3 linked regions of the Macaca mulatta genome follow. The protein of the gene in region 1 interacts with the protein of each later gene in a biochemical or structural test. Links are inferred from orthologs where the notes say so. Each region holds a gene or a part of one and is shown on either strand. Other genes may lie near its edges.

Evidence for each region. The genes of interacting proteins can lie anywhere in the genome.
Region 2: the proteins of NHERF2 (region 1) and PODXL form a complex in vitro, tested with the Homo sapiens proteins (3 studies listed by BioGRID and IntAct, with this or other methods). The link is inferred for Macaca mulatta from reciprocal best matches to the Homo sapiens genes NHERF2 and PODXL.
Region 3: the proteins of NHERF2 (region 1) and SLC26A3 form a complex in vitro, tested with the Homo sapiens proteins (2 studies listed by BioGRID and IntAct, with this or other methods). The link is inferred for Macaca mulatta from reciprocal best matches to the Homo sapiens genes NHERF2 and SLC26A3.

What each region holds. Positions count from the first base shown.
Region 1 is NC_133425.1:3,257,337-3,261,482, reverse strand, and holds part of NHERF2 (Na(+)/H(+) exchange regulatory cofactor NHE-RF2), read right to left. Parts: intron 4,034-4,146; coding exon 3,833-4,033; intron 309-3,832; exon of another isoform or gene 251-308; coding exon of another isoform or gene 170-250; intron 1-169.
Region 2 is NC_133408.1:171,258,545-171,263,217, forward strand, and holds the start of PODXL (podocalyxin), read right to left. Parts: upstream 2,929-4,673; 5' UTR 1,323-2,928; coding exon 518-1,322; intron 1-517. UniProt on the Homo sapiens protein: Involved in the regulation of both adhesion and cell morphology and cancer progression. Functions as an anti-adhesive molecule that maintains an open filtration pathway between neighboring foot processes in the podocyte by charge repulsion.
Region 3 is NC_133408.1:147,411,843-147,416,587, forward strand, and holds the start of SLC26A3 (chloride anion exchanger), read right to left. Parts: upstream 2,929-4,745; 5' UTR 2,795-2,928; intron 1-2,794. UniProt on the Homo sapiens protein: Mediates chloride-bicarbonate exchange with a chloride bicarbonate stoichiometry of 2:1 in the intestinal epithelia. Plays a role in the chloride and bicarbonate homeostasis during sperm epididymal maturation and capacitation.

The DNA.
Region 1 (4,146 bases):
TGGGCGCCCCCCCAGATGGTGACGCACCAGCCCTGGCAGAGAAAGGCCTTCATTGTTGCTCAGGGACCAGCCTGCTTACATCAAGTTCCCGGAGTCCCTTCCTCCCACCCCGGGAGGCTGAGCGGCTGCTGGTTCCTCCTAGCCCTCCCTTCCTCCCACCCCACCTGACCTGTACCAGCCCCTGGGGTGGGCTCCGTGGAGGGGCTCCTGGAGCCCGGGCAGGTGGCGTGGCACTCCCGGAGCGCGCCATGGCAGCGGTACAGCGGCAGTGAGTGGCAGGCGTCCGGCCGGGGTGGCCTGAACTCTCTGGCTGACCCAGGCTGCCACCCCACTTATCTACCTCCCTCTGCGGCCCCGGCTCCCCGGGGATGGGTGGAGACGCAGGGGCTGAGTCACTCTGGGGAGCAGGGTGATGACTGAGCCCACTCCCCTTAGAAGGCTCCAGCCCGGCGCCCCCCACCCAACTAGGTTTCCGTCCCAAGAAAGGAAGGAAGGAAGCTGCTGGAAGGCCCTGCCCGCCCCAGGACCCAGGGCTGGGGGGACAGGGAGGAGTCCCAGCCCCAGAACACAGGACTGTCATGCTGAGGTTCCAGAGGAACAAGAGCCATAGGAGCCCGGAAGCCCCCACAGGCACCGCGCCCTAACCACACAGCCGCCTCCCGCAGATCTGTCACCCCTCACCTGCTCTTAGCCCCCAAGGCCCTCCAGACGGAGGTGGAGACTGGGCTAGGGGCAGGGGGCAGAGGGCTCAGGGTCTGAGCCTCTAGGGCCTGGCACCGCTGGCCACCCGTCTCTGTTTGGGGGCCGTCCCCTGTCATCACTACTAGGATCAGCTGCACCGCAGCTGCGGCCACCCCCAGCCTGCTGTGGCCCAGGGCTGAGTCATCACTAACTAGGCGTTCATGACCCCCAAAAGGAGTGGCTGACCACATCAGTGTCCTCCCCTGCCCACCTCCCCTATCCCCAGCCAGGACAGAGGACACTGAGAACCACCCTTAGCTCCCAGGGGGCACCCAGAGTTGGGCCCTCTCCATCCTGCACCAAAGCCAAGCTACATACCCTCCCAGGGCTCTGCCTCTCTGCCACCACCGCCCCCATTGGAGCCATCCCCGCAAGGTAAGCTTTGCCCTCCTGGGCTCCCTGAGCATCTCAGGCACACCCTGAACCCAGGCTGAGCAGGGCAGGATCTGAACCTGCTCTGCGGAGGTCCAGTGAGCCCCAATTCTTCCTGTCCACGCTGGGAGCTCAGGTGAACAAACCTCAGGGCTCGAGCCAGGCGCGGTGGCTCACGCTTGTCACCCCAGCACTTTGGGAGGCTGAGGCAGGCAGATCACTTGAGCCCAAGAGTTCCAGACCAGCCTGGCCAACACGGTGAAACCCCGTCTCTACTAAAAACACAAAAATTAGCCAGGTATGGTGGTATACGCCTGTAATCCCAGCTACTCGGGAGGCTGAGGCAGGAGAATGGTGTGGACCCAGGAGGTGGAGCTTACAGTGAGCTGAGATCCGGCCACTGCACCCCAGTCTGGGCTACAGAGCGAGACTCTGTCTCAAAAAAAAAAAAAAAGAAAGAAAAGAAAAAGAAACCTCAGGTCTCGATGCCAGAAGACAGAAGGGGAGACCCTGCTCCTTGGGTGTCCCCTGACCTCCTGGAGCCCCTGTCCCCAGCCAGACTCATGCACAAAGGGACCTGCCACTCAGGCCACCCTTTGTTCCTCTAAAAATATACCCAGAGGAAGCTCCTCCTAGGGCTTCCTGCAGCCCCCAGAGCCTGAAATAGCAGACGGGGGAAGGTCCCACCCAAGGCAAGGTGCCTCGGCCACCGCACCCTCCAGATAAAGTCCGAGGGCCAGATTTTTCCACAGGAAGGTGAACCATGCATTTGTGTCCAAATCAATGGACAAACGCCTGAGGTAGAGGCGGAGCTTCCTCCTGGGGGAGGCAGGGTGCCTGGGAAAGAGGGAGGCCCCAACCCTCAACTTGGAGATAGGGGCCTGGGACCAGCCTGCTCCCCTGCAAGGCCAGCCCCCCAACCAGCCCTGGGCTGGGCACCTTGGCCCTGAGCACGACCATGGCCTGCCCTCAAGCCCCAGGAACAAAACAGGTCCCACAGGTCCCATGGCCAGGCCTGTGCCCCCTCCCCACAGGGAATGCCGTCTCCCTGCCAAGACATGCCCCCGCCGGGCTCAGCTCCCAGGCGCAGCCAGCTCCAGGAGTGATACTTGGGAAAGGGAGAAAGTGAATGTATAGATCCCCTGCACCCTCAGAAACTCGAGATCCCACACCCCTGCCTCAGGCACGGTTCTCACAGTGGGGTCTGGCCAACCCCTGGACTCAAATCCCCTGAAGGGATTTATTTATTTTTTTTTTTTTTTTTTTTTTGAGACGGAGTCTCGCTCTGTCGCCCAGGCTGGAGTGCAGTGGCCTGATCTCAGCTCACTGCAAGCTCCGCCTCCCGGGTTCACGCCATTCTCCTGCCTCAGCCTCCCGAGTAGCTGGGACCACAGGCGCCCGCCAGCTCGCCCGGCTAGTTTTTTGTATTTTTTTAGTAGAGACGGGGTTTCACTGTGTTAGCCAGGATGGTCTCGATCTCCTGACCTTGTGATCCACCCGTCTCGGCCTCCCAAAGTGCTGGGATTACAGGCTTGAGCCACCGCGCCCGGCAAAGGGATTTATTTCTTTTCTTTTCTTTTCTTTTCTTTTGAGACAGTCTCGCTCTGTCCCCTAGGCTGGAGTGCAGTGGCAGGATCTTGGCTCACTGAAACTGCTGCCTGCCGAGTTCAAGCAATTCTCCTGCCTCAGCCTCCCGAGTAGCTGGGACTACAGGCGCCCGCCACCAAGCCCAGCTGATTTTTGTAGTTTAAGTAGAGACGGGTTTCACCACATTAGTCAAGCTGGTCTCAAAACTCCTGACCTCAGGTGATCCGCCTGCCTCGACCTCCCAAAGTGCTGGGATTACAGGTGTGAGTCACCGTGCCCGGCCAGGGATGTCTTTGAAAATGAAAAACAAGGTAGGAGAGCATGGAGACAATGCCATCAGGGCCTCCAGGAAGACAGGACACACAGTTTCAGGCTGTTCCTCCTAGCCCTCAAGGCCTGCCAGGTGGCCCCTCCCAGCGGCCACCTAGCAGGAGGTGGAGCAGGCGGCCCCTGTACTTTTCTGGGTCTCCTGGCTGGGAGCAGGGGCAGGGGAAGGAAGAAGTGCTACCCAGCAGGAGCCCAGAAGGAACAGCAGACAGGGTCCCAGGGCCCTCCCTTATATTTAGGGGAGGAGTGGGCTCACCTTGGAGCCACCTGGACCCCCCAACTCCACTCCCATGCTCCCAGCCCCACCCATGCCAGGCCTGGCAGAGTGGCCTCCTAGGCTTCCCCAACCTGCAGAGGCGGCCAGCCCTCTCCCAGGCCTTCCCAGCACACAGGCTCCTTGGAGAGAGACAAGGACAGAGCCACGGATGACACCCAACACAGGCACGGAGCTGGGCACATGCAGACCTAGAATGTCTATTCCCAGGGCTCCTCAGCCATGAGGCTGGGGGCTGGGGAGGCGGCAGCTTGTCACAGTAACCCCTCGATAGGGCAAGGGGCTCTGGAGCGTCCTGGAGAACAGGAACAGGCTAGGCTGCCCTGACCCTACCCAGTTTAAAACACAGGCTGAGGGTAGAAAGAGTGGCCCCCAGTAGCCAACAGGATGGTCCCTGGGGCAGAAAAGGGGCCCCAAAAGGCAGAAGAGACCAAGACTTCTGGAGGTGATCAGAGGCAAAGATGGTCGTCGAAAGCCGAGAGAGCCTCTGGGAGAGGCGAGGGTGGTCCCTGCGGGCCAAGCCCGCCATACCTTCTTGCCAGCGTCGGAGCTGCGGCCACCCATGTGTGCCCAGTCTGGCTTTGGCTCCCAGGGGTCGTGGGCGGGCGGGAGCCCTCGCTGGGCCATCTCCTCAGTGCAGGTCAGCTGCCGCCGGCGGAGCTCCTCATCTGTCTCCTGGTCCACCACCAGCAACCGGGTCTGCCCCTCCACAGCCTTGATCCTCTGCACCACCTGGGGCGAATGGGTGACAGGAGCGGGTCAGTGGCCCGCATTCCGGGCAGCACATGGGCAATGGCACCACTCTGGGCTGGCCCGGGCATGCAGGCGGGCAGCTGGTCTGCATG
Region 2 (4,673 bases), on another chromosome or scaffold:
CCTCTCTGCAAACGGGTAAGCACATTGCCCGCGTGGACAGTGGCTGGAGGCTTGTCACCTGCTTCAGGGACTTCCTCGGGAGCTTCTCGCCTGCCTCTTTGCCTGGAATTAACGAATACACAATATAGCCCCACATTCCCTCCAACACGAAGGAAAGGTGTAATCAGATCCCAAGGGTCCCGCAGAAGCGTCGAGCCTCGCGGTGCTGTCTCCCTTTTCTTTCCCAAGCAAACCCACTTAGCACCGGCGCGCCCCTGTCTGCCCGGGCAGAATCCACTGCCCACTCCTCCCGAGTGGAGACTGGAGACGAATCCACGCTCGGGCCCTGCACCTGCCGCGTAGTGGAGTTTGGAGGGGGCGTGGATGGTGCAAGGTCAGGGCTTCGTGTATCACCCCGGCGGCGACAGGGCTGCTCCGGGTCAGACCACGCGGCGCGTCGGGCTTCCCTGCAACCTGGCAGGGTAGGGGGCACACGCACACGGTGGGGCATCCGGCGGAGCCCGGGCCGGCCACTCACCATCCTGGGAGGCCAGCAGCGGCGACACCAGCAGCAGCAGCAGCGCCGAGAGCGCCAGCGCGCAGCGCATCGTGTCCTCGCCTCTGGGCCGGGAGCAGGTGGCTGCGGGGCCGGCGGAGGGTCCGCGCGTCCGGACGGTAGGAGAGTGGGCGCCGCTCGGGGAGGCCTGTGGGTGGCTCCGGCGACCGGGCTGTGGCCCGGGGCTCCCGGGTCGCGCTGCGCCGGCTCTTCCTCCCTGCTGCTGCCGCAGAGCGGGGCTGGGGCGCAGAGCCAGCAGCGGAGGAGCGGCGGCGGCGGCTGCGTCCTGGGCGGCGTCTGCGCGGCTGCGGCCCCACTGGCGGCTGCGGCTACTCCTGGCCCGTCCCGTCCGCGCCGGCCCCCGCCCCCGCCCCCGCCCCTCCCCCTCCCCCTCCCCCTCCCCCATGAGCCCGCCCACGGCGGCGGCGGCCGGGCAGGGCGGGGCCGGGGCTGGGCGGGCGCTGGGCCGTGAACAATGAGCAGAGGAGGAAACTCCGCCCTGAAGCGCGGCGGGCGGGAGGGCGGGCAGCCTCCGCGCCTTGGGGGGCTTTGAATGTGTGCGCGCGGGCCGGGGCCGGGGGCTTCTGCGGGGCAGCTGGGCCCCGCCCACAGGTGTCCCCCCGAGTGCTTCTGAGTGGGCCTGGCGGGAACCCCCAGCACACAGCAGGGGCCCTCGCACTACGAGCAAATCCGGAGCGGGCGGACCTCCAGCCTTGCGTGGTAGCTGATAACCATTCGCGGCCTCCCGGGCTGCGGCGCGTTCTGCAGCGACCCCGGAGAAGCTCATCTCCTACCTGCCAAGTGCAATTCACCTGCCGGCGGGCCCCCATCCCGCACGACTTCTGAGCGGGTCCTTGCAGCTGGGTGTGCACCGGGCAAGCTGGACTAATTCACTGCTTCACCTCTCCAAGGCTAGGTTCCTTACCTGTGAAATGGAGATGATGGTTAAAAAAACAACAGCAACAATTTCAGGGATGAATGTGTGCCAGGCTTTACGTATATTAATTCGTTTGCTCTTCATGACAACCATATTTTTAGCCTCATTTTGCAGACAGGGAAATTGAGTCAAAAAGAGGTTAAGAAACTTCCTGAGGTCACATAACAGGTAAGTGACAAACCTGCCTCTGAAAGTAGTTTGGAGAAATACCGTGCCTGGAATATAGTAATTGCTCTGCAAGGAGTGGTTGTTACTTTTATTCCTGCTATATAAAGAACAGTTACAAAGATTTAGAACTTTTGGGTCAAAACAGACTTGGACTCAAAACCTAACTGTGCCAATCTGTTAATTGTAAAACCCTAGGCAAGTTATTCTCAGTACCTCATTTCTTTTCATCTGTAGAATAGGGATAATAACACCTACCTCAGGGGGTTACTGGGAGACTTAAATGTGATCCTACAAGATAATACTTAGCCTAGGGCCAGGAACACGAAAGTCTCAATGAATGAAGTAGCTCGCCCTCCACGTGAGGATCAGAGATATTTGCACATTGCGGATGGGAGTGAGTTTTGGAGAATTCCGTAAACTGAGTTTATCTGGCGTAAGAACAAAGAAGTTCGTCTCCCCTCCCCCGCTCCCCTCCTTTTTACCCCTGAAAGCTGCTTGGGAGACGCAGACCCCAGGACCGCCTGAGGAGGAGGCACATCAGCGCGGCCGCGAAGCGGAGGGGGCGAGGGGTGGTTAACCTTGGAACCGGGGTACGGCGTGAATTTGGCTCACGTGACTCCGGAGCTGCTAATCTGGAGTCTCTCTGCCAGATGGGGCTGGGTGGAGGGGTTTTCCCCAGGATCTAGCCGCGTCCCGGGGACAGGGTACTTCGTGAGCCCCTGAAGTCGGTTGTAAGCAGGCGATGCCTGCAGGGCAGTGCGTCCCTGGAGCCGCGAAGGAAGCTCTGGAGCCCTGGATGGGGTTCCGTGGCAGCCGGCCTCAAGCTTAGGGGAAGGGCTGACGGGGCTGTTTTCATCAGGAAGTTTCTGCAGGATCGTCTGGCCCCGTTTTCCACACCGCATATGGGAAAGACAGAGGGTGTTCCCGATATGTGTGTGTGTGTGTGACTATCTTTGATGTTTTTTTAGTACTGTTCCCCTGACATCATGTCAATAAAAGGCCTGTTTCTCTTCTGAAACCAAGCAATATATACATATTTTTTTTTAACTGGGATTTTTTTAAATGTGTATAGCACGCTGTCTGATTTAAACAGTGTTTTTGCACTCAATCATTCAATTTCTCTAAAAACTCAGAAGCAATCACGTTAACTTTATAAAGAGAGCGTATATTTTGAAGCTTAGGGCATTTTAAATGCACATGATTTGGGATTGGCGCCATTACAAGATCATGCAAAATTAAAATGAGAGCAGACATCTGGGCTTAGAGAAGACACAGAAAAGTGAGAATTGTGCTGAACTCTCCCCAGTATCCAACAGCCCCCCTCAACTTGTGTACAACGTGGCTTTCTGGAATGAAGCTGGCTGGGTTTTGAGGTCACTGGTGGCCAGTGAGATGAGCCACCCCAAGGTAATTGGCCTGTGCTTTTGGCCCCATTTAGCATTGTGCTCCAACTAGTGAGTTCGCCAGCCTAGAACACCTGAGCTTATATTTGAAACCCAAAGCACTTTATGGATGCTGTCTTTGAAGCTTTTCATCAGGAAGTTTGCAGGATCATTCCTTCTGAGGTTTGTTGCATTTTGGTTATTTTCCTGGGTTCAAGCGATACTCCTGCCTCAGCCTCCTGAGTAGCTAGAATTACAGGCATCCACCACCATACCCTGCTAATTTTGTATTTTTAGTAGAGATGGGGTTTCTCCATGTTGGTCAGGCTGGTCTGGAACTTCCGACCTCGGGTGATCTGCCCTCCTCGGTCTCCCAGAGTGCTGGGATTCCTGGCGAGAACCACTGTGTCTGGCCTTCACATTTTTATCAATCAAATGGTTTTGCTGCCCCATGGGCGCAGAAGCCAATACTATGGAACACTAGCTTTTGAGAAAGTAGTGGCTTTGTTTGCAAAACTGGTCAGCAAAGAGACAGGAGTGAATTCAAATCTGTCTCCCCAGCCAGGCATGGTGACTCATGCCTTTAATCCCAGAACTTTGGGAGGCCGAAGTGGGCAGATCACCTGAGGTCAGGAGTTTGAGACCAGCCCAGCCAACATGGTGAAACCCCATCTCTACTAAAAATACAAAAAATAGCCAGGCTTGGTGGCATGCGTCTGTAATCCCAGCTACTTAGGAGGCTGAGGCTGGAGAATTGCTTGAACCTGGGAGGTGGAGGGTGCAGTGAGCTGAGATTGCACCACTGCACTGCAGCCTGGGCAACAGAGCAAGACTGCATCTCAAAAATAAAAGAAAAAATGTCTCCCCGATTTGGGACCTGGGGTAAATTTATGGGATCCGAAGGCAAGGGAAAAGATTTAGGAATGTTGACCTGACAGAATCTGATTGGAGGGCTTTAAATTTGACTGTTTGGCCAGACGCGGTGGCTCACGCCTGTAATCCCAGCACTTTGGGAGGCCGAGGCGGGTGGATCACGAGGTCAGGAGATCAAGACCATCCTGGTGAACACGGTGAAACCCCGTCTCTACTAAAAATACAAAAAAAATTAGCCAGGCATGGTGTCAGGCACCTGTAGTCCCAGCTACTCAGGAGGCTGAGGCAGGAGAATGGCGTGAACCCGGGAGGCGGAGCTTGCAGTAAGCCGAGATCGCGCCACTGCACTCCAGCCTGGGCGACAGAGCAAGACTCCATCTCTAAATAAATAAATAAATAAATAAATGTGACCATATACAGAAAGGTATGTTGAGGTGGACTTTTAGCCCCACATCTTCCAAGCCATTGTACCTCTGGCTTCTGAGAGAGTTCTGGCATTCGGGTTCCCATCAAGTCTCTTAGTCATTTTAGTTCCAGGGGAGATTTCTATTGCTCATGCTGGGGGCAGCATGACATTTTGTTATCAACAGAGTAAGCCCAGTTTGGGCTTGTCCTTCAGTTACAACATCATACATACAGATACAGATCTATAGATACAGATCTTGAATGCAAATATGAATGTCACCTGGAAGATATTACGCAGGAACCCATGGCACAAGGTTACACATTTTTCCATGGCCCCTGGCTGTCAATGTTAGGGGTCATAATTCTCTGCCCC
Region 3 (4,745 bases), on another chromosome or scaffold:
CAAAACAACTCAGCTGACCATTGATTCATTTCTTCATTCCTTCAACAAACATGTATTAGCCTATTATTTGTCAGGAACTCAGTTCCCAACACAGTTGTAGAAGATAAGAAAATGATGTAAAGCCTTCATGGAATCCCTGGATAGAGTTAATAATTTCGTTCTTGTAAGTACCTTGTATATGTGTCTATTCCATGTCATACAGTATGGTCATTATTTGTTTATGTTTCTCTTCCCTTTAAGACTGAGTTTTTCAAGGGCAAGGCCCAAATCTTAACCATTTTTTCCCCTTTTGCATAGGTCCTATGACACAGTAAGTATACAAGAAAGTTTGTTGAAATAAACTGAACTATTAGCAAAAGATATATAAATGATGTAGTCCTAAACACCAAAGTTCACATATACAGGAGACGTGCCCACAATAATTGGTGCAGATAATAAATTGGAAGAAGGGATGTAAATGTGGGTTGGAGTTAGGAAAGGTTTTGTGAAGGAACTCTGAGTCTTGGGTTAGACTTTAAAGAACAGATAGGTTTGGCAAGGGTGATGACAAAGCAGTGGGGAGTAAGCAAATCATGTCAAAGAATAGTGAGAATTCCAAACACTGAAACAGAAGGCTGTGTTGGCCCATAGGCTAAACCATTAGAGAAATGCTGGGATGCACCATAGCAAGGGGTTTCACACCCAGGAGGCTCACAGAAGGCAAAAGAGAATCCCTGGCCATTTCTATAAGGCGTTGATATTTTCTGAGCACTTTCACTTTTCTTCCTTGAGTGTTACTGTGTGATGGAGGCAGAGAAGATAGGCTGTATTATCGCTAATTTACAGTTGAAGAAATTGAGATGAGAGAAGATAAATGACTTTCTCAACTTTCCAGAGCCAGGATGAGAAGCCACATCTTGTGAATAACTGACTGTCTCCACTACATGTTCTTCTCTGCTACATATTGAATGTCAGGGGGCATAGCCCCTATCCCCAAGAGAGACAAGGCAAAAGAACAAGGTGAGGCACCTTCAAGGTCCTTGCTTTTGAGCACGAAAGCCTCACACTCCTTTACTCAATATCCACAATACAAAACATGAGCCTGGTGGCCTGGGGCCCAATCTCCTTGAGGTGACTTGCTTTATTCTCCCCCTTGCTTCTCAACAAAGTGTCACAGAGGCTAGAGGAGGCTCTTTGTTTCTCCTTGGAGAATCAAGACCTTTATTGTAGAGAAGAGCTAGAATGTGTTATTACATATTTATTCTTGTAATTGAAAAATGTTCATTCTCATTTTCTGAACGATTTTGTTTCTTAGTCTAATATGAGCTGTTTAGGAGGTATTAAACATTTGTTCATTTCTTTATATACTTACTTATTCCCTTATCCAGAGGGAGAAGGCAAAGTATGTATTGTGTTACCACATTTTACTTGTTTCTGAAATCAAATTAGTTGCTTCCTAATTTTTCATTAGGAATAATCCTTGGTCAGACGGGGTGGCACGTGCCTGTAATCCCAGCACTTTGGGAGACTGAGGTGGGCGGATCACCTGAGGTCAGGAGTTCGAGATCAGCCTGGCCAACATGGCGAAACCCTGTCTCTACTAAAAATACAAAAAAAAAAAAAAAAAAAAAAAAATTCAGCCAGGCACAGTGGAGTGTGCCTGTAGTATCAGCTACTTGGGAGGCTGAGGCAGGAGAATTACTTGAACCTGGGAGGCGGAGGTTGCAGTGAGCAGAGATTGTGCCACTGCACTCCAGCCTGGGTGACAGAGTGAGAATCCGTCTCAGAAAAAGAAAAAAAGGAATGATGTTTATGCAGTAAAATTTCATGACACAATTTTTCCAAATGACTTTCTTCAGAAAAGAGAATTATTTAGTCCAATAATTTGATAAATTGTTCCTCACTTGCATATGTAAAGAAAGTTGTATAATCTTTTCCTGACATTTTAAAGAATAAAATAGATTTTACCTTGGTAGAGTTAGTAATGTATGGGATAAGTACCCATATATTACTAAGTATATTATATTATATTATATTATATTATATTATATTATATTATACTACTTGTGGCATAGGGCACTCTGCTACTTTCCAGTAACCATTGTCTCCCCATCTCTCTTCTCTTTCCATTCTCTATCCTTACTCTCGTTGCCTTTTCTTCTCTCCCTGTTTCCCTTAGTCTTGGACTTTCTAGGATATCTAGATAAATTTCTCACTTCTAGAACAGATGTCCCCCCACCCTTTTTTTTTTTTTTTTTTAAGAGACAAGGTGTTGCCATGTTGCCTACGCTAACCTCGAACTCTTGGGCTAAGCTATTCTCCTGCCTTAGCCTCTTGAGTAGCTAGGACTATAGGTACATGCTCCTATGCCTGGCTGGGACCAGATGGCCTTTCTGAATCCTTTCTAGTAGGCGATTCTGTCTCCTGGAGAAACTATTTCCTTAAAGCTTGCTTTTTTTTCCCCCAACCCTCAGAGCAGATAATCTATCTATAAAGTCAGATTTGAGTGGAGAATTAAAGGAATTATCTGAATAATTAAAACAAGAACACTAATATCTTTGAAAAGACTGTTTAAAACTTAATGATGCTTACAACCATTTACTTGTTAAATTAAAGTCTACTTAAATATTTATTCCACATTGCTAGCACTCCAGACATACATGCATAGCTTATTAGTGGATTCATTCAAAATATTCACACACATGGAATAAACTCAAGAACATAATAACTCCTAAATAGGCTTGATCAGAAAAAATACCATTCTCAAGGAACAGAAAACCAGTTTGAATATAACAATCATAAATTTGGTTCCTACCTGACACCTACTCAGTGAGGAGCTTCAGCAACAGTGATATATTTTCAAGATAAAGTTCTAGTTCTAAGAGGCAGTGTCCATCCACTCAGGTCTACAGGCTCTGCGTGCATCCATATGCATAGGGATGTCTATATATAGGTTATGTAAGACAGAGGACAAGTTACCTTTCTGTCAGCTTTAATAATTAACTTTCATTAACTTTTACAACAATGAAAAGACTGCAATGTGGTCTTGACCTTTGAGACTTTGATCAGCAGTGATGATGAAAATTGCTTCCTCAAGTTCCTTGTGAGATTAAACCACCCATTGCACTTGTGTGTATGTAATTTCATTGGTTTGCAGAGATTTGCACAGTGATGCACACGTGGACTTAAAAAAAAAAAAAAAAAAAGAATCTTCTCAAGGGTTATCTCCTTGACATTTTACCAACCTGTTTCGATGAGAGCTTAGTGGTGGTGTTCTTTGTCTGGATGACTCCATGCAATCTGTCATGGGCTACAAAAGTGTGGTGTATAGGTTAACTCCTGGTAGGATAAAGGCCCTCATTAGGAACACTCACCCAACTCCCAGCCACAGGCCATATTTGCATTCCAATTTCTGCCCCCACTACAGCCCTTCCTAAGAGCAATACACCCTATGTTGCTAAACACAATGAATACTTCCAACTCTCATCTTACTTAAAAGCATTTGGCCCTGCTGACTACTCTTTCATGAACTCCTCTTCTTATTTAAAAAATTATTTAACTAATTAATTCATTTTAGAGATGAGTATTGCTGTGTTGCCCAGGCTGGTCTCAAACTCATGGCCTGAAGTGATTCTCCTGCTTTAATCTCCTGAGTAGCCGGAATTACAGGCCTCAGCCATCATGCCAGGCTAAAATCTTCTTTTCTTAAAATGCTAAAAAAATGTTTTAACACACTTTTTTTTCACCTCATCCTTTTTGCCAATTTCTCCTCTAACTCTTTCTTTGGCATTTCCTAAGATTCTGTTCTGAATTTCCTTCTCCTCTCTTGCTACCCTCTTACCCTAAATAAGAGTCCATGGCTCCCAGCAACATTCAGATTTCTAACCCCAGCCCTCTAGGTCCACGTATTTAACTGCCTACTCCACATCTTTGCTTGGATGCCTCGTAGGCATCTCAAACACAACACATACTGAGATTAAGACCTCTTGATCTTTCCTCCCAAATGTGCTCCATCTCTAGTCTTCCCCATTTCAGTAAAGAATATTCCCCTTTACTCACATCAGAGACCTGGGAACTATCTCTGACGCTTCCTCTTGCAGACCTTCTCCCCACCCGCAGCCATTCCATCCTTAAGCCCTATTGAGTATGCCTCCAAAATACATCCCAAAGCCATCATTTCTTTATCTTAATTCTTACCTTTTGCTGCATTTCTTGCTTCCTCTCGCAGCCCTCCCTATCTCTTTACCACTCATTAATCAGAATGATCTTTTCACACTAGTCCTCTTTGTGGGGCTGATGATTATATGGAGGAAAACAGGCTTCCAAAGTCTTTGCATGATCTCCCCCTGCACAACTCTCCAACCTCATCCGACCTTGCTCTTACTTTTGTTTTCTCCACTCCCACCATGGTGGCCTCTTGTAGTCGCAAATTTGCCCAATCTTTGCAGACATCATTTCCTCTGCTTAAATGCGCTTCTCTCTCCCTCTCAGTTTGACTGTTGCTTAGCTTCAACATCACTTTCTCAAAGAGAACCACTTTGACTTCCTAATCTTAATTAGCCCCTCTTGTGGTATTCTCTCAGAGTATTTTTTCAGTCCCTTGATTAATTTGCATGTACTTTTTAAAACATAGCATCATAATTTTAAAATACACAATTATTTACTTGGCTAATGTTTGGCTTTCTCATTAGAATAAAAGCCCCACGCATGCAAGGACTTTGGTGAATTCACTACTGTATGCGCAGTACCTAGAATGAATCTAACAC